Daphnia pulex: one gene and its partners. Each later gene encodes a partner of the first gene's protein in a complex. Links are inferred from orthologs where the notes say so. Each region holds a gene or a part of one and is shown in the gene's direction. Other genes may lie near its edges.

What was found.
Region 2: the proteins of THO complex subunit 2-like (region 1) and THO complex subunit 1-like are in contact, whole or in part, in a cryo-EM structure (PDB 7ZNL), measured with the Homo sapiens proteins. The link is inferred for Daphnia pulex from reciprocal best matches to the Homo sapiens genes THOC2 and THOC1. Residues at the interface, in NP_001075019.1 of Homo sapiens: Leu155, Phe156, Tyr157, Lys158, Gln160, Asn163, Leu164, Leu165, Arg166, Asn169, Glu170, Ala173, Lys174, Ile176, Ala177, Gly180, Gln181, Asn195, Lys197, Ser198, Leu199, Ile200, Gly201, Cys202, Phe203, Asn204, Leu205, Pro207, Asn208, Arg209; in NP_005122.2 of Homo sapiens: Asn134, Arg138, Asn141, Leu144, Arg145, Lys149, Thr153, Cys156, Gly157, Gln160, Leu161, Ala164, Arg165, Phe167, Gln242, Phe245, Arg246, Tyr297, Ala299, Lys300, Phe301, Arg319, His320, Leu323, Gln324, Ile327, Tyr331, Arg373, Phe374, Lys376.
Region 3: THO complex subunit 2-like (region 1) and SAP domain-containing ribonucleoprotein-like share a complex: the UniProt entries of both Homo sapiens proteins name them as parts of the transcription/export (TREX) complex. The link is inferred for Daphnia pulex from reciprocal best matches to the Homo sapiens genes THOC2 and SARNP.
Region 4: THO complex subunit 2-like (region 1) and THO complex subunit 6 homolog share a complex: the UniProt entries of both Homo sapiens proteins name them as parts of the transcription/export (TREX) complex. The link is inferred for Daphnia pulex from reciprocal best matches to the Homo sapiens genes THOC2 and THOC6.
Region 5: THO complex subunit 2-like (region 1) and THO complex subunit 4-like share a complex: the UniProt entries of both Homo sapiens proteins name them as parts of the transcription/export (TREX) complex. The link is inferred for Daphnia pulex from reciprocal best matches to the Homo sapiens genes THOC2 and ALYREF.
Region 6: THO complex subunit 2-like (region 1) and chromatin target of PRMT1 protein-like share a complex: the UniProt entries of both Homo sapiens proteins name them as parts of the transcription/export (TREX) complex. The link is inferred for Daphnia pulex from reciprocal best matches to the Homo sapiens genes THOC2 and CHTOP.
Region 7: THO complex subunit 2-like (region 1) and THO complex subunit 7 homolog share a complex: the UniProt entries of both Homo sapiens proteins name them as parts of the transcription/export (TREX) complex. The link is inferred for Daphnia pulex from reciprocal best matches to the Homo sapiens genes THOC2 and THOC7.

Annotation. Positions count from the first base shown.
Region 1 is NC_060017.1:3,792,197-3,796,406, forward strand, and holds the start of THO complex subunit 2-like, read left to right. Parts: upstream 1-1,410; 5' UTR 1,411-1,881; coding exon 1,882-1,943; intron 1,944-2,050; coding exon 2,051-2,121; intron 2,122-2,183; coding exon 2,184-2,275; intron 2,276-2,337; coding exon 2,338-2,697; intron 2,698-2,757; coding exon 2,758-4,185; intron 4,186-4,210. Other genes in the region: uncharacterized protein LOC124205981, read right to left, coding at 1-263, 344-470. UniProt on the Homo sapiens protein: Component of the THO subcomplex of the TREX complex which is thought to couple mRNA transcription, processing and nuclear export, and which specifically associates with spliced mRNA and not with unspliced pre-mRNA.
Region 2 is NC_060026.1:6,262,967-6,266,907, reverse strand, and holds the start of THO complex subunit 1-like, read left to right. Parts: upstream 1-1,141; 5' UTR 1,142-1,257; coding exon 1,258-1,299; intron 1,300-1,379; coding exon 1,380-1,462; intron 1,463-1,523; coding exon 1,524-1,816; intron 1,817-2,018; coding exon 2,019-2,241; intron 2,242-2,300; coding exon 2,301-2,406; intron 2,407-2,472; coding exon 2,473-2,741; intron 2,742-2,804; coding exon 2,805-2,934; intron 2,935-2,997; coding exon 2,998-3,206; intron 3,207-3,261; coding exon 3,262-3,405; intron 3,406-3,479; coding exon 3,480-3,627; intron 3,628-3,941. UniProt on the Homo sapiens protein: Component of the THO subcomplex of the TREX complex which is thought to couple mRNA transcription, processing and nuclear export, and which specifically associates with spliced mRNA and not with unspliced pre-mRNA.
Region 3 is NC_060024.1:915,590-918,989, reverse strand, and holds SAP domain-containing ribonucleoprotein-like, read left to right. Parts: upstream 1-1,447; 5' UTR 1,448-1,584; coding exon 1,585-1,605; intron 1,606-1,757; coding exon 1,758-1,851; intron 1,852-1,923; coding exon 1,924-1,991; intron 1,992-2,049; coding exon 2,050-2,159; intron 2,160-2,226; coding exon 2,227-2,551; intron 2,552-2,612; coding exon 2,613-2,792; 3' UTR 2,793-2,900; downstream 2,901-3,400. UniProt on the Homo sapiens protein: Binds both single-stranded and double-stranded DNA with higher affinity for the single-stranded form. Specifically binds to scaffold/matrix attachment region DNA. Also binds single-stranded RNA. Enhances RNA unwinding activity of DDX39A.
Region 4 is NC_060027.1:616,916-620,563, forward strand, and holds THO complex subunit 6 homolog, read left to right. Parts: upstream 1-1,214; 5' UTR 1,215-1,590; coding exon 1,591-1,697; intron 1,698-1,765; coding exon 1,766-1,999; intron 2,000-2,069; coding exon 2,070-2,231; intron 2,232-2,298; coding exon 2,299-2,461; intron 2,462-2,532; coding exon 2,533-2,687; intron 2,688-2,752; coding exon 2,753-2,840; intron 2,841-2,901; coding exon 2,902-2,988; 3' UTR 2,989-3,148; downstream 3,149-3,648. Other genes in the region: SEC14-like protein 2, read right to left, coding at 105-152; ubiquitin-conjugating enzyme E2 G1-like, read left to right, coding at 3,422-3,467. UniProt on the Homo sapiens protein: Component of the THO subcomplex of the TREX complex which is thought to couple mRNA transcription, processing and nuclear export, and which specifically associates with spliced mRNA and not with unspliced pre-mRNA.
Region 5 is NC_060025.1:2,695,818-2,699,049, reverse strand, and holds THO complex subunit 4-like, read left to right. Parts: upstream 1-1,245; 5' UTR 1,246-1,453; coding exon 1,454-1,639; intron 1,640-1,800; coding exon 1,801-1,956; intron 1,957-2,015; coding exon 2,016-2,129; intron 2,130-2,193; coding exon 2,194-2,499; 3' UTR 2,500-2,732; downstream 2,733-3,232. Other genes in the region: ribonuclease Z, mitochondrial-like, read right to left, coding at 1-90, 152-377, 446-632, 688-968; uncharacterized protein LOC124203100, read right to left, coding at 2,877-3,046, 3,113-3,232. UniProt on the Homo sapiens protein: Functions as an mRNA export adapter; component of the transcription/export (TREX) complex which is thought to couple mRNA transcription, processing and nuclear export, and specifically associates with spliced mRNA and not with unspliced pre-mRNA.
Region 6 is NC_060027.1:3,847,523-3,850,927, reverse strand, and holds chromatin target of PRMT1 protein-like, read left to right. Parts: upstream 1-1,164; 5' UTR 1,165-1,320; coding exon 1,321-1,376; intron 1,377-1,544; coding exon 1,545-1,713; intron 1,714-1,775; coding exon 1,776-2,450; 3' UTR 2,451-2,905; downstream 2,906-3,405. Other genes in the region: tRNA selenocysteine 1-associated protein 1-like, read left to right, coding at 1-120, 188-352, 415-872; protein timeless-like, read right to left, coding at 3,032-3,387. UniProt on the Homo sapiens protein: Plays an important role in the ligand-dependent activation of estrogen receptor target genes. May play a role in the silencing of fetal globin genes.
Region 7 is NC_060023.1:12,053,787-12,056,663, reverse strand, and holds THO complex subunit 7 homolog, read left to right. Parts: upstream 1-1,331; 5' UTR 1,332-1,478; coding exon 1,479-1,488; intron 1,489-1,549; coding exon 1,550-1,670; intron 1,671-1,736; coding exon 1,737-2,163; 3' UTR 2,164-2,377; downstream 2,378-2,877. Other genes in the region: ataxin-7-like protein 1, read right to left, coding at 66-153; transketolase-like, read right to left, coding at 2,398-2,877. UniProt on the Homo sapiens protein: Component of the THO subcomplex of the TREX complex which is thought to couple mRNA transcription, processing and nuclear export, and which specifically associates with spliced mRNA and not with unspliced pre-mRNA.

The DNA of each region.
Region 1 (4,210 bases):
AGTGTGTGAGGGCTGTGCGGGTCTATTAGGTTGCGGACTATAAGAAGGTACTGGTGGTCTGGCAATCGGATAACCAATCGGTGCCTTTGGTTGGTTGTAGCCCTTGAAGTGTAGACCGGGAGGTGGGCGAGGCGTTGCAAAAGTAGGAAAATAGAGTCGAGGTTCAACCCGTGATGTGCCGTACGTGTTGGACCATCTTCTCTTTAATCGTATCTGGTTTGTTGGATCCAAGGTAGATGTTGAATTTGAATAATTCTGTTGCCCTTGGAAAATGATAAAAATTTGTTTTATTTTATTGCGTCAGCATCGTTTGTGGGTTTAAATTGGGAAAATTCATTCTTACTGCTCGATTGGTTTTCGGAATCGCTGTTTTTCGGATCGACAAAGGCAGCAGCTGATGTCGAAAATAAAATTGCGGCGACGATGAGAAGAGAATTAAGAGGAGACCACTTGGCGGTTCGACACCGCATCTTGAAATCAAACGGGTCACAGAAAATCACCTCCAGTTATAAAGGTTTGCTTGTTGACAGCCATGGCTTCTGGATGTTCGGTTAAATCACCGTTGTTGACACCTTCTTTGGCCTACATTTTTATATCAATTAAATAAAAAAGGAAAGAGGAATTTTGGAAATACTATACATGTAAGGCGTCAAAGATGTCATCAAGGATGTGACGTATTTGCCAGTCATTGCTCTTTGTTTAAAAAAATGGAATATGTGTGTTACATATTTTAAATGTTCTTTTTATTTTTGACGATTCTTATTGTTTGATTTAAGTCCATGTGAATTCGCCCTATCTTATCCTATTTTATGTCTTTTCTACCGTTTCCCCGTTGTAAATGGTGTCACGACACCGGCAACCCAACAGATTCACGCCCTTCCTGTAGATTTCGTCTCTTAGGAAAGCGTGAATCCGTACCTCTTGTACTTATGTACTTTTTCTTTAATGATTTCTATTCTTTCGAGTTATTTATCATAATTATTTGGATATCGATAAAATTTTTTAAATTGAAAAAAAGGCCAAAATTATTGTTAGTTTTGTCGGAGTTATTATAAAAATAAATCGTTGTTACTCTCCGCATTAAAGTCTGTCTTATAATTGAAGATGCCGTTTCTCATTTAGAAGAATTTCTAGAGAAGGACGGGGAGAAAGAGAAAGTCCCAGTATATACGTATACCCATCTGCACGCACAGCTATATAAGCCGAAACGGCAGGAACGAATTTGTACAAATAGTCCTACTCAACCGGAAGCCAATACGGATCTTTACTAAAACCAAGAAATATTTTTATCGCTCACGTGTTGCTCCGCTAGCAGTCACTACCTGCTGGGTCTGTCATCCTTTTACCTGCGACGCTACATCCATTTGGTCCACCTCCAGTTTATCATTGCTAGAAGTAACAGCTTGAAATGTTTGTTCCTAGATGGCGTTAGCAGCAGCCTCTTTTTCCTCTTCCCCCTATAAAACTAAAATCGAAATATCTTCTTTACTGTAACGTTTAAATAATAAGAATATTTTGTGTAATTCGATTCGCCTTTGAAAACTTCATTAAACCGTATGGCTTAAAAATTGTTCTGACAAATAACCCCCCGACAAGCTTACAGGAATAGGAAAAGATCCCGTCTTTAATTAGAGTACTCCGTGCTAAAGTGGTCGGTAGGCTACTCAGTAGACTCCAGCAAGGCTCTAAGCTTGAGTCCATGTTTATGTTGTCACATATGCCACCAAAGAGTCGCTTCCCCGTTTGTTTGGTATTTGTTCGTTGTCGTTTGAATTCGCTTCTGCAATTTTGAATGGCCTAAGGACTTCTAAAGACAGATACTGCGACGTGTGAAGTGGAAATCACCGAATTCGTCAGTTGTTGCTTAATCGAGGGACACAAATGGCGTCGTTAATTTCGCAAGAAGTATGGAAAACGTGGGAATCACATGGACACGTTGAATTGTAAGACTCAACAATTGTTTTATATCACTGACACTACATTCTTTGACTTCAACAATAGTAATAATATGACATAACTAATTTACTCTTTTTATCTGGTAATCTTTTAGTGTGAAACTGCTGGAAAGCTGGATTGGCACCGATAACAATAGTCAACATATTCCTTCAATTGGGAGTAAAGGTTTGTTGTTATTACATTACATTTCCAAGTATTTTATTTATCTTATGTTTTACTGTTTTTAGATTTGTTTCGTGCTATATATGAGTTCTTGTGGCAAGCCATCAAAGGTGGAATAAAAAGAGAACTAGTTTTATCAACCATTGGAGATATTCTGGTATAGATTTTGATCTTAACACTTTTTATTTGTGATTTTGTCAATTAAATATTTGTAAGTAGGTTTTGCATGGTGATCTAGCATCGTTGACACTAGATGTTCTCAATGTTATTGACCATGAAACGTTGGTTAATGAGAATAATGATGAACGTCAAAAGTTGTGCAGCATGCTAAAAGAACTGGAAAACTGGCTAAGTGATTCAATGATTAAGGAACGCTTAGAGATTGACACATTACAAGATTGCAGTTTACTGAAGACAAAGAAGATATTTTACTCCCGTTTCATCAAAGTAAAGACAAAATTATTTTACAAGCAGCAGAAGTTTAATCTTTTACGGGAGGAGAATGAAGGCTATGCAAAACTAATAACTGAACTCAATCAAGAGATTGATGACACCATCACTCCACTCTACATTTTACAAGTAAACATTTGATTAATATTATTCTCTGACCATGTACCAATATTCCCCTCACTTACACAGGTTGTACAGTCTTTAATTGGTTGCTTCAACTTGGATCCGAATCGGGTGTTAGATGTGATTATGGAATCATTTGAATGTCGGCCGCAGCTTCACAGTCGTCTTTTTGTTCCACTGATTCGCTCGTACATGTCAGATTCGTTGACTTTGTGTGAAGTCTTAGGGTTCAAGTTTACTTCATTCGACCCGTCTTCTACACCAAACTCTCTTTTCGTCATCACTGCTCTTTTATTGCAGCATGGAGTCATTCATCTTGAAGATATTTATCGTTGGCTTACGCCTAAAGATAGCGAAATCGACGAATCCGCCGCTAAAGAATTAGCAGACGCAAAAGAGTATGCTCGTCGAATGAATATCATCGCTGTTCCAAAAGAAGACGACAAAATTGAAGAATTGATTGAAGAAAGGGCACCTTATAATCAGAAATTTGGACTGTGTGAAGCTCTTCTTTCAGTGGGAGCTTGGGAACAAGCGTCTACTCTTCTTAAACGTCACCCAGAGTTTTTCGTCACATCTTATCGACCCATCTCGAGCAGTATCTGCAAACTGGTCGACTACGTAATTGAACCGGTGTATCGCACTCGATGCTGCATATCTCCAAAACTTTCGGGCAAACCAGTTTTATCTGTCGGTGTATGGAACTTCCCCAAGACAGCCAAGGAAATGAAGGAGTTGAGAGAAACTGCTTTCCCCATGCTACTCTCTTTGGGACCCCATTTGTATAACGATCCTGTCCTCCTGCACAAGTTAATCCGTTTGTGCAATACTGCGTTAGATGATTGTGGCTTGAACAGTTCAAAGAAATTTCCGCAAGACCTGGATTCGCTGTACTTTGACGTTCTTACACTGTTTGATGTTGTAATATTGCCATCACTCGCCCTCATGGAATCGAATTGCTGTGTAGCAGAAGAAATCTGGAATGTTTTGAAGAAATTGCCTTATGAGCACCGTTATCGTCTGTATGGCCTGTGGAAGAACGACACGTTTCAGAGCCATTCTTTGCTGATCCGCCGCAAAGTAGACTGCGTTAAACGCATCAAGTACATCATGAAGCGTGTGAGCAAGGATAACGTCAAGCCCACGGGTCGAGTGCTTGGCAAGCTTAGTCACAGCTGCCCTGGCTTTCTTTTTGACTACATTTTGTCCCAAATTCAAATCTACGACAACCTGATTGGCCCTGTTGTGGATTCACTCAAGTACCTCACAAACCTATCGTATGATGTTCTTGGTTATTGCGTTTTGGAAGCACTTTCGAACCCAGACAAGGAGCGCACCAACCATGATGGAACTACCATCTCTATGTGGCTGACGGCTCTTTCCGCCTTTTGTGGAGCCATTTACAAGAAATACAACATAGATTTGACTGGACTTCTCCAATACGTTGCCAATCAACTAAAGGCGCAAAAGAGCCTAGATCTTCTTATTCTTCAGGTACTTATATTGATTTAATATAATA
Region 2 (3,941 bases), on another chromosome or scaffold:
CAATTGTTACTAGCCAATGCAGAGAGTAAATAACCCAAGATAATTACATTAAAGGCTTGACAAAGAGTTATTGTAGCCAGCAAATAAAAAACAAATCGACAAAGTTTTTGGCAATCATCCTTCTTCTATTCGTTCACAGGGACGATTTGAACAGAGAAAACAACTTCTTCTCATTAAAGGCTCTCAAAGCGATCGCCATCTACATGTTTAATTACAATAGAATAAGGCCTAAGGATTCGCGTTTCTTGCTTCAGCTTACGTGCCGCGTCATCTTTCGTTGATGACGTCCTGCAGTCCAAATGACACAGATAAATTGGTTTGAAATAAGTAAAATTTTATATCTTTTATCTGGTGTTTTATAATGCTACTAATAATTTCCTTTTAATTTATTCTTATTTGAGATGATCAAAGGCGAAATAGGATTTTAAAAAGTGCCACAAACGGCGGTTCCCTGCAGTAAAGAATCGATATCTCTAATCCTCTATGCCTTTTCCTGGTGCACTTCAGGAAGTAGACATAAAATCAGAGCTCGTAAGCAAACAGAGGTAGTTCAAATATAGAGACTAGAACAAGGTTATGAAATCTCGGTAGATAGTGCAGTCGATACTGTAGTTGTAATATGGCAGGCAATACCTGCCGATTTTCATAGGAAATCAAATGATAAAAGTAATACGAATGGAAGTTGAAAACATTCGAGTATTTGAATGCGCTTAAATATTGTTTAGTAGTGAAATGAGTAGCATTGGAATGCTATTGAAAATATTGAGTTCAAAAAGGCTACTTATTGTCGATTACATTAAACATGAGAAATGTCTTAAAATTAGGTAGTTTTTATATGGGAATTTTATCTTTATTAAACTCGGTGCAGTCCCGCGTTAGATGATTTTTCAAAAAAGGACTCTCTTTTGTAGAACACCATTTTTATTGATCCGTCGACTCGCCATCTAGGGGATGATAATCGAGTAACATTTTTGTATGAAAACGTCAAAACGGTAATCTCAGTCAAAACATATTCTTTGAACAGATAAATTATTTGATTATCACCGATTACTTATTAGTTAAACTTGAATGGTTTGACATTTACTTCTTTCCAGAATTTCCGCTTTCCGGGATTCGGAAAAAAAAATCAAGTTGATTTTAGAATGGCAACATTGCAATTTACAAACTTGGCAACGCAACCAAGTTTTGAAGCGTCGTCTGATCGTTTCGAAAACACGACTATTTTTATGTTTCTTACTTTGTAAAAAAACCACTGAAATGGAAATATTTGATTTTGAGAAAACTCGGTGTTCGTTTCTGGTACAGTAAAAAAATCTATCAATGAGCCATATTTGAAATAAATTGAAAAATCTTATGTCTTCTGTGTTTGGTTTCTGTAGGATTCCATTTCTGAAGCTCTTAAACTGGGTGGTCCACCCACTATCAGTGAATTACTTTCAGTTAACAATACAGCTCATCTTGGGTAAATTTAATCAAAGCAGAAAGTATTTACATATTATTGTAATTAAACATATTTATTGTAGGGAAGCTGATAAAAAAGCTGTATGGGATCAGGCGTTTAGAGACAGATTTTTGAGTGATTCCTCAAACTTTTCCATACCATTGTTTGAAAAGTTGTTGCAGTTGAGTCTGGATTGTGCAGTAGCTCTAGTATGTTCTCCAACACTGCCTGTGATTTTGCTCACAGATGCTTTTGACATCCTGTCTCTGGAAAAATGTGAGGAAATTTTCTACATGGTTGAAATGAAAGTAGCGATTTGGAAACAAGAGCTTTTCTTCAATCAGTGTAAAAATACCTTACTTCGCCTTTGCAATGGTATGTAAAGACATTTTTCCAAAATTCTAATAATGTATGACACAAATATTTATGTAACTGGATGCATCTAATTCTGTATTGATATGAATTCAATCCATTACTCTTATTTCAATGTATACCACTCTGCTAAATTCATTTACAGTGTTTCGCTTTATGTGAGTTGTGTTGCTGAAATGAATTTTATATGTATATTTTTTTTCAGATCTGCTGAGGCGCTTGTCCCGAAGCCAGAACACGGTTTTCTGTGGTCGAATTCTTCTATTTCTTGCAAAATTTTTCCCATTCTCTGAACGATCCGGACTTAACGTAGTAAGCGAATTTAATTTGGATAATTTGACGACATTTGGAGCTAAAGATGAAAGCTACGCTGCTGATATATCTGCTAATTCTGAAAAGCACAAGGATGCAATGGAAGTAGAAGAAAGGTATATATATTTGATTGACAAGTTATTGCAATATTTTTCTAAATTTTCTTGTTTTGTAGTTTGAGCTCCGACTACAATCTGTACAAAAAATTTTGGTCCCTACAAGATTTCTTTCGAAACCCTAATCAGTGCTATACGAAAATCCCGTGGAAAACGTTTTGTTTGGTAGCTAAAACATCAAGTATTTCAAGTTAAAATTTTCCATCTAACAGAAAAACAATTATTCTTTAGCATACTAGTGATGTTTTGTCTGCATTTTCTACTATCAAACTGGATGAGCGGAGAAACCGCTCTAAATGGGATGAGGCAGATGTGGCATTAAACATCGATATGAATGAAACCAGCATGAATGGTGGAAATGTCCAACAATATTTCGCCAAATATTTGACGAGTCAAAATCTTCTCGAACTTCAGCTCGGTGACTCCAACTTCAGACGTTACATTCTGCTGCAGTTTCTGATTATGTTCCAATATCTGGATTCACCTGTCAAGTTTAAACAGTTAGTTTCAATAAGTTTCATTAGTTAGACTATTTCAACCGCTTGAATTGCTTCTATTTATAGCGAAACTCACAAGCTCAACGAAGAACAAACTACGTGGGTTTCCGAGGCTATCGATCAAGTCTATCGGTTATTGAAAGATACACCTCCAGATGGCGCTTCTTTCGTCCAATCTATTCGACACATACTAAAGGTATACTGAGTTGTATAAAAGTAGTTTTAAAAAATATCATCCATCGGTGTTTGTTGGATGTAGCGGGAAGAATTATGGAGCAACTGGAAGAACGATGGCTGCCCGGAATTCCGGCCCAGCATAACCAGCTCAACCACTGATAATGATACTATAAAAGATGGTACCAATGGAGAAAAAAAGACGATCGTAGTTGGCCGACCAAGACGGCTCAAAAGAAGTCTTGGAGATCAGATTCGAGAAGCTTCAAAAAGAAATAAGTGCATTATTGGAAAGTAGGTAAATTATGAAATTATTTGAAAACATTGAATTACAGCTTTTTCTCTTTAGCGCTGAGATGAATCGTTTGTGGAATCTATGTCCTGATAACATGGCTGCCTGTCGATCTAAAGATCGAGATTTTCTACCTACATTAGAAAACTATTTTGAGGAAGCCATTGAGCAACTGGATCCTTCAGTGGAAAGCCAGTACAAGTAAAAATTTGCACTTTAAAGCTTACATTTTTCCGAAAATGTTTTAACTGAATGAGCGATTTTCGTGTTTCCAGGCGAGTTAGTGAGGCTAATTTTGGGTGGCGTGCTTTGCGGCTTTTGGCTAGACGAAGTTTACATTTCTTCACTCATGGTAATACTCCTATCACTCGGCTGCCAGATTACTTGGAAACGCACGTTCGCAAACTGGCCAAGGACATGCAGGTAGAGTAAAATCAGATGAATATCACGGTTCCCATTCTGCAATACAGGGAAAAGTCAGGGATTTAGGTTCTCATTTGGGAATATATATATATATTTTTTTTTAATATTTTGAGGTATTTTGAATTTTGTTATCGAGACTCATAACTTTTGCACGGGTTTTGCTGTTAAACAAAGATTTTGAAATAGTTGATCCAGAAGAAATACAGACGAGTTTGTTAGGTGTCAGGTAATTTTTCACATTCATTTGTCTGGAAATCCCTGGATAATCTTGATATATTACTGGTTTTGTAGTTGGCTTATTCAAATAATATGAT
Region 3 (3,400 bases), on another chromosome or scaffold:
CTTAAAAAAACAAAAAACAAAACAAAAAAAACTGGAATATCTATTTTGTCTAGTTCTCATCAGTTCAAACGTAAACGTCTCGAAAGATCTATTTTGAAAATACGTGTCTTTTTTTTCTCCTCTGTTTTGTTTCGTTATTATTAATTGCCAAAAAGAAATAGGCCGCCACGCGCGCCTCTCTGATTTGATATATTCGTGTATGTATTTTCAAGTGCTTGTATACCAATCGCTTACAAGTTGATGAATGATGATCGCTGTAGTGTTGCGTGTAACGTGTATTTATCGGGGAAAAAACAAAAACAATTCCCGATAAGCTAAAAAGAGAAAATTTGACGCCATTTCAGAATGGGCTTAAAAATTGGGTCCCAAGAATAGTGAAAAAACATAAGAAAATCATTGGGCATCACTGTATATCCTTTATTACAACAGTATCCCGGGACCAGACAAATCGACTACCGTCGTGCCGTTTAACCCCCCCCCCCCAATCCCTTATTGGAAACGTGTAAAACCATAATTGTCCTCAGCAGTAAATGATATATATAGTTAAGTTGTGCGTGCCTTGAAAAAAGAAAAACAGAAATCGATTGCCTCGCACAAGTTGGATATTGCCACAGCAATTGGTGTTCTCCTTTTACCCACCTTTTACTCCTTGCCGGAATATAGCCACGTTTCTGCGAATTGGTTGTTTGTTTTTGTTTTTTTGTTTTTTTTTGTTAAAAAAGAAAGAAAAAGACGCGAAAAGACCATTGTTTTTTTCTTCCTTTGAGATGTGTCGCTCGCTACGTAAACATTGCCTACTGTCCGAAGCTGAGCGTCGTCGTGAAAGTGCTTTTTGCGCGCACGTATTTTCATGTCAAAGCGAAATACACGGCTTGAGCATTTGTCTCATTCATTATATAACTATTGCAGCTTGAACTGTTTGCTTGTCTTAAAACACGTTACTTTTTGTCACTTTCTTGTTCTTTGAGCGGGAAAAGAATCAAAAATTCAAAATTCACTACGATGTTACGATGAAATTTAAAATCATTGATTTACAATACACACACTAGTTAGTTAAGCCAATCAGTTTTACTTGGTTTATCACAAGATATTTTATGAAGTTTTTATCAAGCTCTTTAAATTAAAAAAAAAAAATTACTTTGACAATGAGTTTGATCATTTGCGATTACAGAAATAACGTAGTTGCAATGTTTTATGCGTAGCCTTTTTGTCCGAGAAACCCATCGCTTAAAATTAATTTCTCACTATTTTTTTTCAAAATCCTACCAGAGTTATCCTACGTGGCTGATTACTTTTTCGAGGGTTTTCTTTCTCATTGTTGGCTAGTAACACACTAACATGGCAACATGACTCGGACAAACTTTTTGCATTGACGATAGGTGACACTACTTTAGTACAGGATGCGCCCGATAGAGATCACTAGTTTAGAAGCCAGCAAAAGCATACGCAATTTCTCCTCTGAAACAATACACTGGCATTCAAAAGTCGAATTACTTTCAAGTTACCGCGTTGCGCGTTCCAATTGTAATTCATTGAAAGTTTGAGACGCCGGTACAGACAAACGTCATCATTATCATCACAATCATGGACATCTCTAAATTAAAAGTAACCCGCTTAACTTTATATTTGAGTGAAACTTGTCAATATTTCCAACTTAGAATCCTGATTGAGTTTGTCAAATCAAATGTCTATTATGTTTTTGAACTAGTGATAGGCCTACTGTGTGCATTTCATCTTGACTGTTGTTTTCATGCTAGGTTGTGGACCTTAAAAAAGAGTTAAAAACACGAGGCCTCAGCACCATTGGCACTAAAAATGAATTGATGGAAAGACTGCAAGATGCTGTGCAAGGTAAACTTTTATCATTTTGATTATTAAACTGTTTCCATGTTTATGTTCAAGCTTTTTTCCGTGGATGTTAAGATGACGATACTGGAGATAATGGCGCCTTAGACAATGATGACCTTTTGGATGAGGAGGCAGTTTTAGCAGTAAGAACATTGGTTTTATACAATGTGATAAACTTATGCAATTTTATTTTTGGTATAGGATGAAGAAGCTATTTTAGAGGAAGGAAATGCAAATTTGATCGCCCAAGAAGATGATGCAGTTCTTTTAACACCTACTGCATTGAGTGCCCCCAAAGTTACAGTTGAAAAGTTAGTTACTCTGTTTGTTTGGAAAATAATTGCCTCAAGATTAATGATGAAATGAATAATATTTCAGGACTGTTCAGGACTCGAAGAATGAAATAGTTTCTCCCCATAAAAAAATCATCTTGAACAGAAAGGTGGTAACTCCTCCATCAGATTCTGGCACAGTTTCACAGGAAAATGACGACCACCTTAAATATGATGCCAATAAAGGTGATGAATCTGACTCAAAGGAAGAAAAGAAGGTGATTAAACTTGGTTCCTTATCTGCCGAAGAAAGAGCCAAACTAAGAGCACAGAAATTTGGTGTTCCTATTCCCGATTCTGTGAAGAAAGCTGTTCGAGCAGAAAGATTTGGCGGTACAAATAGCACAGAATCAAACACATCAAAACCTCAGGTATTTTCGATTGATCAGCTCATCGTTCTTCGTGTTTTCATGTAGTGAATTTTTATTTAAGGTTCCTGATAATGACAAACTTCTGAAAAGGCAAGCTCGCTTTGGCGTCGTTTCTAATTCTAATTCCGAAGTTGATGAGAAGAAACAGAAGCGAGCAGAGAGATTCGGAACTACGAGCACTGCGGTCGGCAGTTCTGACGAACAGAAGCGCAAACGTGCTGAACGTTTCGGACTTGCCTGAAATGTTCGTTTTAAAGTTTATTAATTGACGTACAGTTAAATGAAACAAAGACTTGGTTCGATCACAAAATTTTTAGTTTTTTAAAATTAAATGTGACCTGATTTCTTATCCCGATAAAAAAAAAAATACTAATTTGGTGTATACTTGAAACACATTTTCTCATGGGTCCGAGTTAGGTTGGTCGGCGGAGTTGTTTTGTTTCTAGTTTGTAATTGAAATAACCTGATATGTTGGTGCGCAATTTCACTTGATTTTATAAAGAAAAGAGCAGCATGAAACAAAGAGATGAAATTTAGTGAGGGAGTTCTAGGCTAGTGGCAAGTCGAAGGGAGTAGCGGTTTAGGTTAATGTAGAAAATTCAAGTTGGAAGGGAAATAATCGTGCAAAGGTAATAAGCAACCCGCCACTAATAAAGTGTGGGTTCAAAACCCTCACTATGTAGTGTAGGACGCTTTTTTAGAAATCTGGAAAGAGACAGCATGGTCCTATACCATGAGGGACAGGAACAGTAAGTAAGTCCCCTGTACTACAAAAGCATATTACAACTCAAATGCTGCAATAATAGGCTATAATATTTTTTTCTCTACGCGATTTTACTAGATATTCGG
Region 4 (3,648 bases), on another chromosome or scaffold:
TCTTTGATTAATACACTATCCGCGTTCAGCGTGGCGAAATTTCAATACTGGCGAAAATTTAACCTTCGTCTATTATTACAATTAAAAAAGACGATTTTAAATACCTGGTCGAATAAGTTTCGTTTCTCTGGGCTTAGTTGTGTAAGGTCCATGACCGAGAGAAAAGAGAAATTTTCCTCTCGGAATAGTAGAAAGAAAGAAAGTCCCGAGATCCGTATGTTAGATTGCGCGGCTCAACTGGAACTTTTCGAGTTAAGAGTTAAACTTTTTGATCGTTTTGACACTTTCAATTGTCAAAACATGGTGTTGGCTGTTTGTTGGGTTTTAACTCGACCTAATAGTTCCACTACGTCAGTTCGTGTTGTTCCACTGTGATTTCGCTTTATAAGTGCCCAGTCTGAACGAGAATAGCAGTGCGATGCGACCGATCTGTTGGGTGGTTCACACATCAAGAAGGCAAGCGAACGAATGTAGGCTAAGGCCATTAGATTTTTTGGATTCTAGCAATATTATTATCAGAGAGGAAAGCAGGTTTCCTTTCCTGGTATTTCTTCTTGCAGGCCCTCTGATGTTTACTGAATGCACTACGTGCTGTTGCCCTAGCGCTGTATTTTGCTCCCGGCGGCTTATCCCGTTAATAACAGCCTTATGTATTCACGGCGGCCTGAATTATTACAGGTTATTCAGTAATCACTCCACAAGTTTATAAACTCGTAAATTATGCGATCCGCGGGGGGATATAAACTGCAGTCAAGGTTTTCCTGAAGAAAACTTAACACACTGCTGCGCCGCTACGTCTCAGGTGTGACCAAAACACGTATCTTGGCTATCACATTTTATTATATATTTTTTTATTTGAAACATTTCACTTTTTTAAAATTGGTCTGGTTGTTCTGTGTCAAAGTCAACATCTCGAAAATAATCAAAAAGGCAAGTCTATAACAAATTTGGGGGAGTGTTTTCACACAAGTCTAGATACGGTATCATGTCTGATTCCAATAGCTGATTTCATGGGAAATCAGATCTAGTTAATCTAAGCAAATAAGATTAAACTACAAAAAGCTGAAGGGATATCGGTTTCGATTCAAGGCCCAAGGGAAGTGACGTGTAGGGAATAATGGGAATAAGTAAGTTGCGTTCAGTGTATGACAACTCATTGATGATATTCATTATATCTGAGAGTGTCCTTGATCTTATTATTTTGGTCTTTTCAAATCTGAAGTTGACCACATTAAATAACTACAGTTAAAATTTTTGAAACATCATTCAACAGCGCTTTAAATCGGTTTAGATCTTCATCGAACCAATGAAACCAAGTCGTAGTTCACATTTCTATTTGTTTTTGGCTTATTTCTCAGTTGAATTTCCCGGGTAATGGCTGAAACTGAAAAACCTTTCTCGGATTTCCGCAAATTAGTAGATATCGTAGCAGACGCTTCCGCATGGAGACCCAGAGCGCCACAAAAATCAAACTTTGCCGGTGTATATTCTTGTTTTGATTTTCAAATTAAAAGTTAAATTTACTGAGTTACAAATTCTCCGACTTCACGAATAACTAAACTGTTAAAGCAGTGATTAAAGTGCGAAAATATGCCTAACATAAAATCGTTTTACGTGACTGTCCTCTCTCAAGCCCTATCTCCTTGTGAGGAATTTCTAGCTGCTGGAACCAATTTTGGGAATGTCAACATATTTAAGTATTGAATTTATTCTTAAAATAATATTACTGAAAAAAAAAATTTTATTAACATGTATCTCTTCCTAGTATCAAAAGTTTGTATGCCGAAGATGAACAGGGTCCACGTGAAAGCCTCACATTACCACAGAAATGCTTTTCTGTCAGTACCAAACCTTTGCAAGCTATAACATCTTTAAATGATAACTTACTCGTTGGAGGCAAGAACTGTATTGAGGCATTTAGCTGGAATCAATTGGTGCTTCCACAGAATAGTGATGAGAAGGTGAAACCTTGCTGGAAAGTTGATCTTCGCTTGCCAACGTAACCATATTAGAATATTCTGATTATTACATTTATCATAATTAACTGTTGGTTTTATGTAATTTTATAGTGACTTTGGCACTAAAGAAACTGTAGATTGCATGATTAACGGTGAAAACTCAACTTTTGTTGCTTGTGGAGACAACAATATTCATCATGTAGATCTTGAATATGGGAAAGTTAAACAAACCTTCTCTGGTCATACTGATTTCATTCACTCAATGTCCCTGGTGTATGTAGATGTAGTTACAATTCAAGTTATTGCATAAAAACATTAATTACTTTTTATTGTGTGATAGTGGGAATCAGCTATCAAGTGCAAGTGAAGACGGAACAGTATGCATCTGGGATACTCGAAAATCAAAACCTAATCACGTAATTACACCACATTTGGAGTCTAAACTGAATCGACCCCATCTGGGAAAATGGGTTGGTGCTGTTGCTATGAATGAAGATTGGTTGGTAAGTCTTGTTTAAGGAAGTAATCTAATCGATGAGAAATCACTACAGTTGTTATTTGTCGCATATCATAGGTGTGTGGAGGAGGCCCGCACTTAGGACTTTATCATTTACGATCTTTGACAATGAGTAGAGTATTACTCGAAGAAGACGTCCATGGTGTTAACAACGTTATGTTTCACGAAGACAATATAATCGTCGGCGTAGATGGACCGTTTGTATACCAATGGTAATTTTTAAAAATTTAAATTTCCCCCTTGACACTAATGTGTGAGCTGGGTCAATTATTTTTAGCTTATTTTCGGGAGATATTACCGTCAAAATGCCTACAAGTCCCCTTAGAGTCTACAGTATTTGCCTCCAGAAAAAGGATGCAAATAAAGTAAAAAAATATTATGATAATGAAATGAAAAACAAATATAATCTTTGGATTGTTATATTAGTTGCTATTCGTCGGCGGATCCGGTGGAGACATTGACATTTGCACCAGTTCTAAACTACAAGATCAAGTGATTCGTTGTCTTTCATGAATTATGTATCGTCATTTGAACATTTTCATCTCGCTTGCCCTTCCATCAATTATTATACAAAAAAAAACAAAGACATCTGCCATGTCTTTAGATTAATAATGTCAAATTGTGATGTTTTATATCGAGTAATGTTCACAAGAAAATACATCGTGATAATTTATTTCTGGGTTTATTGAATCAATGTTTATTTTAGGAGTGCAATTTAAAAAAAATTAAAATTTATAAAACATGCATTGACGGCATTGACGGAGATTGGTCCGTGACCTGGCCGTGATTAAATTGATTGGCCAACAACGCGCGAGCTCTAGAGGAAGGAAGGAGATTTGGCAACGTCAAAGGCTAGGACGAAGCAAGCAACGTGCTTGGAAAGACTTCTCAACTTGAGAGAAGACTTCTCAAGTTCCTCTCAACAAATTTACGTTTTGATTTCATTATGTCCGAATTGCAGTCAGCATTACTTCTTAAAAAACAGCTAGCAGGTAATTCAGTTGTTCTTGGAACAGGTTATGTAAGATGAAGAGCGTGCGAGTCGCTGTACTTTTTATTTGTTTCACCAGTTTCACTCATTCAATGGCGTTGGCTGACGGCTTTCTTGTTTGTTATATGCTTGACTTGAAATTTTTTATCGAGTTTAAGTGTTGTTTTAACATTCGTTTATTT
Region 5 (3,232 bases), on another chromosome or scaffold:
AACGGCATACATAAGCTAGAACGGCTTTGGATTTCGGGTTCTCGTCACTTTCATCTTCAACACGAGTCCTTTTAGCAGCTGGAACGTCCTCTAAGAAAATTAATTTTGTTTACATTTCGATTCTAATAATTTGTAACCACTGATAACTCACCAGGATTTCCTTTTTCTCGACAATAATAATTGGTCACATCCTCCTCTTCGATAGGAGAACTAGAAGCTGAACGTGGTAATTTTGCATCATCATTGGGCATAATAGTTACATAATTTAATTTCATGGCAGCATCTTCATAAGATGATGCAGGTGAAGTAGCATCCACATGATTGACTTGTAAATTCTTTAATATGATGAATCTGGAGGCAGCAGTAAATAATTCACCCTATTAAAATTAGATTATGATATTATTGGATCTGCATTAAAATGTGTGCTTAGATGTTATTTGTTTACCAATCCAGGTGGTCCATGGAGTGTGATATTGGGAACACCAACATCTTGAATTGTTAATGAAATTCCAGGTAATCCACCCACATTTTGCCAAGATGTACGGGTGAAGAAAATGTTCTCAACTTTGGACAGCTTAAACTTGTGCTCATGGGCCAAGCGTTGAGATCCTTCTCCGGAATTGAAGAGATAACTAAAAGCAAACAGGAATTAGACTAAAATACTTTTGCTTTAATTTAAAATGTTACCATGATTGATCGGTGAACATATAGAGGGACCGTGGTGCACCACGGACACCAGAACCCAGAACTTGTAATGTTACGGTTCCTGGTGGGTATTTTGTTTTAGTAATCTTCTTTGCCTGTCTTTCTGATTGAAGACGTGCGACATGACTCGTATCTTTCGGCATGTTGGCGAGTAAATTTAACACACGATTTTTATTTTTTATATCGCCGAATACCTTTTGATTAGAATGAAAACTACGTACAGTAACAACTACAACATTTAACAATGCAAATCGCAAATTCATTAGATATTTCTTGATAATCGGGATATTATGGGGCCTAATTAAAATTTACAGGCACTAACTTTTAACTTTAAACACGTGTTGTCATCTAGAGGGTTGAAAAGCAGAATCAAAACACCGGGCTTGGCAACCACGTCGGTTAAAAACTTAATTTGAAACTAAACTGTTTTTTATTTGTAAAATTGAATCAAATAAATTTAAATTTATTATTTGAAAAATAAATCACTTAGAATAAAAGGAGTATTAAATTATTTATGTTTCTTGTTTTTGAAACTGGCAAACGGGCAATATGGGCGCCATTGAGAGTTTGCTTAGGCTCATATTCGTTAACTTGGCATAGAGATTGAGCGTGGCGTCATTGTCGTACCGTCCCTGTCACCATCATCCATTTGTTTCGTTCTTATTGAATCTTTCTTAAACTTGTGTTTCGTTTTTAAATTGATAGTCCTTAATTTTGTCAAGTCCTCCACAAACTTATTGTTATCAAAATGGGCGACAAAGTTGACATGAGCTTGGATGATATCATCAAAACTAGCCGTTCAGCCGGCCGGGGCCGTGGAGGACGCGGCGGTCGTGGTGGCAGTTCTCGTGGAGGCAACCGTAATGCCGGCTCAGGACCCGTTCGTAATCAAAGACAGGGAAATGCTGGGGGTCGTGCTGCACCTTACGCCAAGGTAAATATTTGTTAAGTTATTCTTCTTGTTTTTTTATGTTCTATCAGAAAGTATTGCATAATCCTTGGTTGACTTGTTCGTCTATTTCAAATCCAAGCTAGTCTGTATCTTACAGTCTTCGTGATGCAATAGTGCTGACTCTTTGTGTATGTTATTTTTAGGGCAACCCAGATGGTGACTGGTCTCATGACATGTATGAAGGTGGACCAAGGAAAAGCAATCCCAGGTTGGGTGCTGCACCGAATGCTGCTGGAGGCGGCTCTTCCAAGCTTGTTGTTTCTAACTTAGACTTTGGTGTGTCAGATGCAGACATTAAGGTATAACATATATTGCTTCTCTGTCATGATGAACATGTATTGAATAATTCTATTTATAGGAACTTTTTATGGAATTTGGACCATTGAAACATGCTTCTGTGCATTATGACAGATCAGGCAGATCTCTCGGTACAGCTGATGTTGTGTTTGAGCGCCGTCTTGATGCCGTCAAGGTAAACTTCATGAAACTTGTCAACTGTAGGACACACAGCATCAATATTTGTTTCTTTTCCATAGGCAATGAAACAGTACAACGGAGTCCCATTGGATGGTCGATCAATGGTCATTCAGATGGCTACTTCCGATTTGAACACAATCGCCAACCGACTAACCAGCCCTCGAGCTAACACTAACAACGGGCCGCAACAAAAGAGGACTGGTGCACCAGCTTCCAACAGAGGCCAGAGAGGAGGAGGAGGAGGAGGCCAGCGTGGTCAGCGAGGTGGTGCTGGTGGTGCTCGCCAACGCAATCCCAAACAGCCTGCACCGACAGCAGATGAGCTTGATGCCGAGTTGGAGTCATACAGGAGTGAATTGAAATAACGCAATCGTGTAATGTTCACCAAATTATTTGATTTCTTTGAGTCCACACGTGGTGGATCAGAGGTTGAATCACTGACGCAAACTCCTGATCACCTTTACTTATTCTCCTCACCACCACCACTTTTTCAATAATGTTTTTTCTTTCGTTCTTTTCATACAAATTCAGTGTTTTGAAAGACAAACCTGTCAGACCTGGTTTTAAGACAAAAAAAAATGAAGCTTTCAGCGAAAAACCATTGTTTTTTTATTTGTGATTCCCGAGATGTGTAGAAGCCAAAAGATCTAGTAACGTCCAATTGTATCAAATTGAGTGTATTGGAAAAACTACAAATTTTTTTTTTAACAAAGTCATGTTTATAAAGATTGTGAAGTGCTTATTATGAGCTGCGAAGTGTACGGCGGATTGCTTGACGTAGTTGCTGAGCTACTGCAGCCTCGTTGATGCTGTCGATGATTGGAATTGAACTTCCACGGTAAGGAATTCGTGATGGTTGAGCGAAGGCTGCGGCTTCGCTGTTAAACTTGGTTGGTTTAGAGAATTGGAAACCTGTTTTCGTTACAAATGTTTTGTTACTATTAATTCATAACTATATTTAATTTAATCAGGTATTACTGTGGAGTAGAATTCCGGCTCGGGGGTGAAGTATGAGGTTCATTTCGGCGTTGACTTCTTCCACTGTTGTAATTTCATTAGATGTCTGACCCTGGGACAAATTGGACTCGTGCTGGTCTG
Region 6 (3,405 bases), on another chromosome or scaffold:
ACACTAAAGGTTCTACAGCCGATCATGCACTGTGGGTGGGAGATTTGAGTGCTGATGTAGATGACTATGGCCTTTACAAATGTTTTTCTGCAAAATATAACTCAGTTCAATTGGCAAAGGGTAATTTGTAAAATTTCTGTAATGATTTTATTGGCAATTATCTGAACTTCTCGTATTTTATGTTTAGTGGTCAGAGGCAGCAATGGAGAAAGTCGCGGCTATGCGTTTGTTAATTTTTCTAATGAAAGTGATTACAAAGATGCGCTGACACATATGCAAGGTCACAGAGGACTCGGCAGCAACCCACTTAGAGTTTCATTGGCTATTCCTCGTAATTACAACATGATACCTGGTAAATGCACGCTTAAACTTTTCTTTGGAGTACATTTCATTTCATACTCTTTTAACTTTTAGGATCCTCATCCAGTACATCTTCTACTTCTACGTTAACTGCATCGATTGCTTCGTCAATTGTCCAGGCCGCAGCCAGCGGCCAGCCAGTTCAACCTCAAGCTGCTGCTGCAGCAGCTGGCTACGGACAGTACGTCGATCCAGCCTATTGGCAACAGTACGGTGGCTGGCAAGGATATGGTTACCAAGGCGGATACGGCTATGATGGTCAACAAGCTTATGCCGGATATGGCGTTGCTGGGCAAATGCCTGCTCAACCTGAAGAAGATGAGTTTGAGCTCATAGAACACAATACACCCGTCGATATTGAGAAACTGAACAGAGAACTTTTTGAGCGCAATCAGGATTTGTGGGATGCACTAGATGAAGCTCGCTGGACAACATTCAATCCAGAGAAAGCCGTTCCGGCAGTTAAAGCTGAGGAAAACGGAAGCAGTACTCCTACAGTAGTGGCCGCCTAATTTCTTTTTATAAAACACTATTGACCATCTCATACGATAAAAAAACAAAGATTCATTTCTGCTTGTCATCTGATTTTGTTTTACAGAATGAATACATTGATTTCAAATAAATACAGATTTCCAATTCTTTCACTTTCTGTATTATCTAGTATATTTAATTATTGACATGATTCTACACCCATAAAACATTTCCTCCACCCACATTTTTTAAAACATGCACTCTTACTCAATCGTAAATCACGACATACTTTCTTTTTTCCGCTAGGTGTCACTTTACTACCCAATAGCAGTCGAAAAAAGTTGAGCGTCATTAGTTCACAGCCGGGCAAACATCAGCAATTGTTTTCATTGACTTCACGAGAAACATTTCTAGATAGCTCGAAATTATCTGTTTTCGGCATTTTCTTGACCGTAATTGAACTTTGGTTCAGCAGTATTCTAGCACAAAATGGCTTCAGGAGGCAGAGTACCAAATAATTCAACTTCCTTATCCTTACATGAAAGGTATAAATCATTAGGCAATTTGGGTTTGTTATGTCGTATATGCGATTGAAATAGTTGTTTGCCGCAATTTTCCCCCTGTTAAACATTGAATTTCCTTGCTTTTATAAAGTATGTGTTGATTTTCTTCTCATTTGCTGATTTTTAACGCATGAAAATTTTTCGTTACAGATTCTCCAAATTACGAAGCTCAGCAGGGGGTCAGAAATTGGCTGGAAAACTGCAAGGGGCTAGAAATAATGCAGCTAATCTTCAAAAGGCATCAAGCAAGAATAGCAGACTAGCTCAACAGATGGAAAGACGAAATGCATCAGTCAGTGCTGCTTTGAAACTGAAAAAGGTGCAATTCCTCGTTTTTAATTCATAACCAGATATACTTACATCATTTATACTGTTATTCAGAAAAGCATCAAACAACGCCTTGGAGCCACAGTAAACACCAGTACTCGATTTCGCGGAACGGCCACCCAAACTCAAAGGAGACTCACAACCAATCGTGGAGCTGGTCGCGGGAGTCAGTCGCGAGGATCTCTGCGAGGAAGTCGAACGCAAGGGCAAACGGTCACCCCAACAAAGATAATTCGAGGCCGGGGCGGACTGAAGCCCATTGTCAGCCAAACAATCGTTCGTGGCGGTGGACAAGGAAACAAGAGAAGCACTCGCGGAAGAATCATTTCTCCATCGAAAAAGCCAGCCCCCGTTGCTGCCACAACCAATCGTTCGCCGACCAAACCTTCGCGTGCTAGAGGCAGCGTGAGAGGAAGACGAGGTGGTCGAGGGCAGATGACATCTTCATTGATTACCGGGCAAGCTGAAAGTCGTATCCAGCGTGGAAGAGGAAGAGGACGAGGCCAACGTGGTGGTAAGGGACCCAGTCGTGGAGGAAGCAGCTTGCCGACATCTCCGCGCGGTCAGACATCCGGACGTGGTCGAGGGCGTGGTCGAGGTGGCTCTACCAAGGTCAGCAAAGAAGATTTGGACAAGCAATTGGATCAGTACATGCAAAAGACTCGTAGCGCTCTAGACAATGATATTGAATCCTACATGTCTAAAATTGGGGACGTTGAAATGAATTAAATATGCAATAATCTTTCTCCAGTCGTTACCTCACCTGTGCTGCTCCCCAACTTCAAACGAAAGAACCTTCTTACTAATAACTCCCCTTCGCCAAGTCTTGATTGACTATTAACAATGTTTTAGTCCTTAAAGTTAAAAGTGAATCCAATTCAGAATTTGTCTTTGAGAAAATGGTTGGACTGTTGTGAAGAGTCTAGACAGAAAAAAGAGATTTTGGACAACCTTGTCTTGATTTCATTCTAGCACTTGATTAAATGGTTCTTGTACTTTCCCCCAGTTTTTGGAGTCCCTTTTTGCCGTGTGTTTCTTGCTTTTCCCTCCTGTTACGGCGCACTTAGCACATGTATCTTTTTATAATTCATTCATATTTCATCCGAGGACTTGAGTGTGAAAAGGTGTGCCTGTGAAACGAGAAAGAGAAACTCATCCCAAAAAATACAAATGATTAACCTCAACACTAATTTGATTTTTGTTCCTTCATTTAATCGTCGCTGATCATAGACAAAATTACAACAAATTACTCTAATGATTGGCCAGCAGTAATCAAGCGGGACCGATCGAAGCTAAATTAAATGGATAAGCTACAATTTTCCTACACAACTCAAGTCGAAATCAACTTGCTGATGGGCAACGGAACCCAACGAAAGAGCAACATTGTACAGAGTGTCTGGTGACCATTCGAGTGGGATCCTTGGATAGGTGCCAGCGTTAGGAAGCGAAGGGAAAAGACCCAGTTGACGCAGAAAAAAGCGAAAGGGTTTCGAACTCAATGCGGAGGCTTCCGCTTCCGTCCAAGGGACTATCGGGCATGGCGTATTCAATTTCAAGCTCAAACAGGTAATTGGATGACGGAATTCGTGGTCGGAGTAAATGCCCAAACGTGCTGCACAGGCCGTCAATAAAGACGACTGAATCCAATCGAGTTGTTTCTGAAATCCTATATTTATCGATACAT
Region 7 (2,877 bases), on another chromosome or scaffold:
AAACAATTTTCACAAAATATCCGTTAGCTATCAAGAAAAGACAACTTATAAGGCAATTTACTCACTTAATGGACTATCTCTGCCTAATCTATCAGCCCAAACAGACCAAGGCTGGCCATGAAGACTTGTTGGACTGTCATCGTTGGACGCCATCTTTGTTAACAGAAAATTTTTTCTTAATTTCTCCTCTCCGAGACTCCGTCTTCTTTCCTCACCTGCAACAGCGTTGCAACTATAGTGAAAGCAGCTCGGCAGCTACCACTGCCCTTGATGCCTTGCCTCCTCTAATTACTCTATGGCATTAACACCCATTGGACTATTTCAAAATTACCTTTAATATAGTACTTGTATATTTTTCCTAGAATTAAAAAATGCGTTGCGTTTCTTTGCCACTTGAAGACCTTAATGTGTAAGCGTACTAAAGTTGTTGATTCTATTCGTTGGCAATTTATGAAATTTTATGATGATTTAATGATGAAATTATCTTCTAGCGAAACGTTCTAGCAATAATTTAAATCCTCAATCGTCCGTCTATTTTTTTTTTAATTTTGGCAAAAGATTTTATGCATTGCGGAACTCAAAAAGTACATTTTTCTTTGCGCTAAGTATCTTTTTACAATTTTCACACATGGACTGCAACAAGTATGACTATGAGAACAAGCTGCACATAATCATAATGACATCAACTGATAAACACATATGTGAAAATTCCCCATTGAGGTACCAAATCTCTCTCAACTCAGTTATTTTATATTACCAACCAATCAACCATCTGACATCTTGACAAATACAACCATTAATTGACATGCACCTTTTATACTTACAAATAAATGTTGTTTGTAAGTATCTTGCACCCAAAATTATTTTTTCACTGTCAGTTACACACCTGTTTAAAATGAATCTGTCAATCTTGATCACCAATCTCAATTTTCAGGACAATAAAAACAGGTTTTCCTAGAATGTAAGGCAACAGTTTAATTAAAAAGAAGAGATTGACGTTAATCTGGAAACGAGAAAAACAACACTCCAGATCCAGCATTTCATTGGATTCTTTCCTTGACATCACCTGATTGATTCTAAACCGTTCAATGGTTTCCCAAGTATATTGCTGATCTGCTGGACTAGCTCTCTTTCGGTTTTGCTAATGTTTATACAGGCATGCAAGTTTAACCCTAAACAAAATAGATACCTAATCAATCGGATGATTTTTTAAAAAGCCATGTCTCCTTCCTTTCATTTGAGGGGCGTGTCGTCTGCTGGCGGATTTAAAAAACAAAACAAAAGACGAGCGAACTACGCTTACGGCAGACGAAAATATTTTTTCATTTTTCAGTACTTTCCGGCGTTTCCGCAGCGACATTTCTCCTAGGTTTGTCATCTCATTCTTTCGCCCGGTTTGACATCTCAATATTCTCAAAGCTTTACCAGTTAAATTGTATTATTATTGGTCTTATTTTGATCCCAATCATTATTCACAAATGGGAGATGGTAATTTGACTTGTTAGTAATATTATTTCGGTTAATTTTCATCTTGTACTTCGTTATGTAGAAGAGATCATCCGAAGGAGGCTGTTGTTTGATGGCGAAGGAACTGGTGATGAAAGAAGACTTAATGTATTGCTTAAAGGTTTCCTAGCTTGGTGCAACTCTACAGATAGTGTTGAAGAAACGTAAATTAATCTTTGTATAAAATTCTTCTATACTCTATATGTGATGTATTTTTATTTGTTTTACAGACAAGCATCCTACGCTAGAATGATTGGTCAGATTGCCCAATGTGAATTTGCTGCCACAAAATCCTTGAGGTGCTGTGAAATGAACACTGCAGAACAGCAGCACTATGACGACCTCTACAACCAGATTGAAGAAGGAATTGTGTCAGCTAAAAAAGACATTGAAGCAACCAAGAAGGAGTTGCAAGAAGCAAGACAGATTCGCAGGAATAAAATGGAATATGATGCTTTGGCTGCCATTATTCAAACACAGCCTGATCGAAAGAGCAACCAAGAGAAATTATCCCTATTGCGACAGGAACTGGAAGCTTCAGAATGTGAATGTCAAAAACTGGAGGCCAAATTAGAACAAAGACGCAAACAATTTCACTTACTCATTTCAACTATCCAAGGATTACAGCAACTTCTTAACGATGATGAAGCATCCTAATAATTGTTCATTTTGTATGCATCCCTTTTTTCTATTTTTGAATAATAATGCTAACAAATAAAAATCATTTGAAACACCAAAAAAGCTATGTATGAATAAACTATCCAAACGGTACATATACGACTTGGAATGCCATAGAAGAATGTTTCAAAAAACACCACCAATTCTTCTCAACTATCCATAGACCTCTGGTAAGGAATGGGTATAGGAATGAGTGACTTAAAAAAAGGGCGTTTACAACGCAACAAGTTTTTTCGCGGCTTCGGCAATAGCCTTGGCGCCGATTCCAAAATGTTCTAGGAGAACCTCTGGAGGACCGGAGCGGGGAACTTCGCGAACTGCCAAAATCTTGACGATAATATTTCGTTGTTCGGCTAGAGTTGAAGCAACAGCCTCACCCAATCCACCTTCTGGGTAATGGTCTTCAACGGTCAAAACCCGGCCGTTGCAACGAGTGGCTTCCTTCAACAGCAAATCGTGATCAATGGGTTTGATGGTAAATGGATCGATGACAGCAGCCTTGATGCCGGCTTCCATCAGCATGTCGGACGCCTTCAGCGCTTCGTGGAGTGTAACGCCGGCGCCAACGATAACCAAATCGTCTTGATCGTGACTACGAACAACGTGACCCTTTCCAGCAGAGAAAACTTGTTCGTTCTCGTAGATGACGGCTGTGTTGGGGCGAGATGTACGAATGAAGCAAATTCCTTTGGT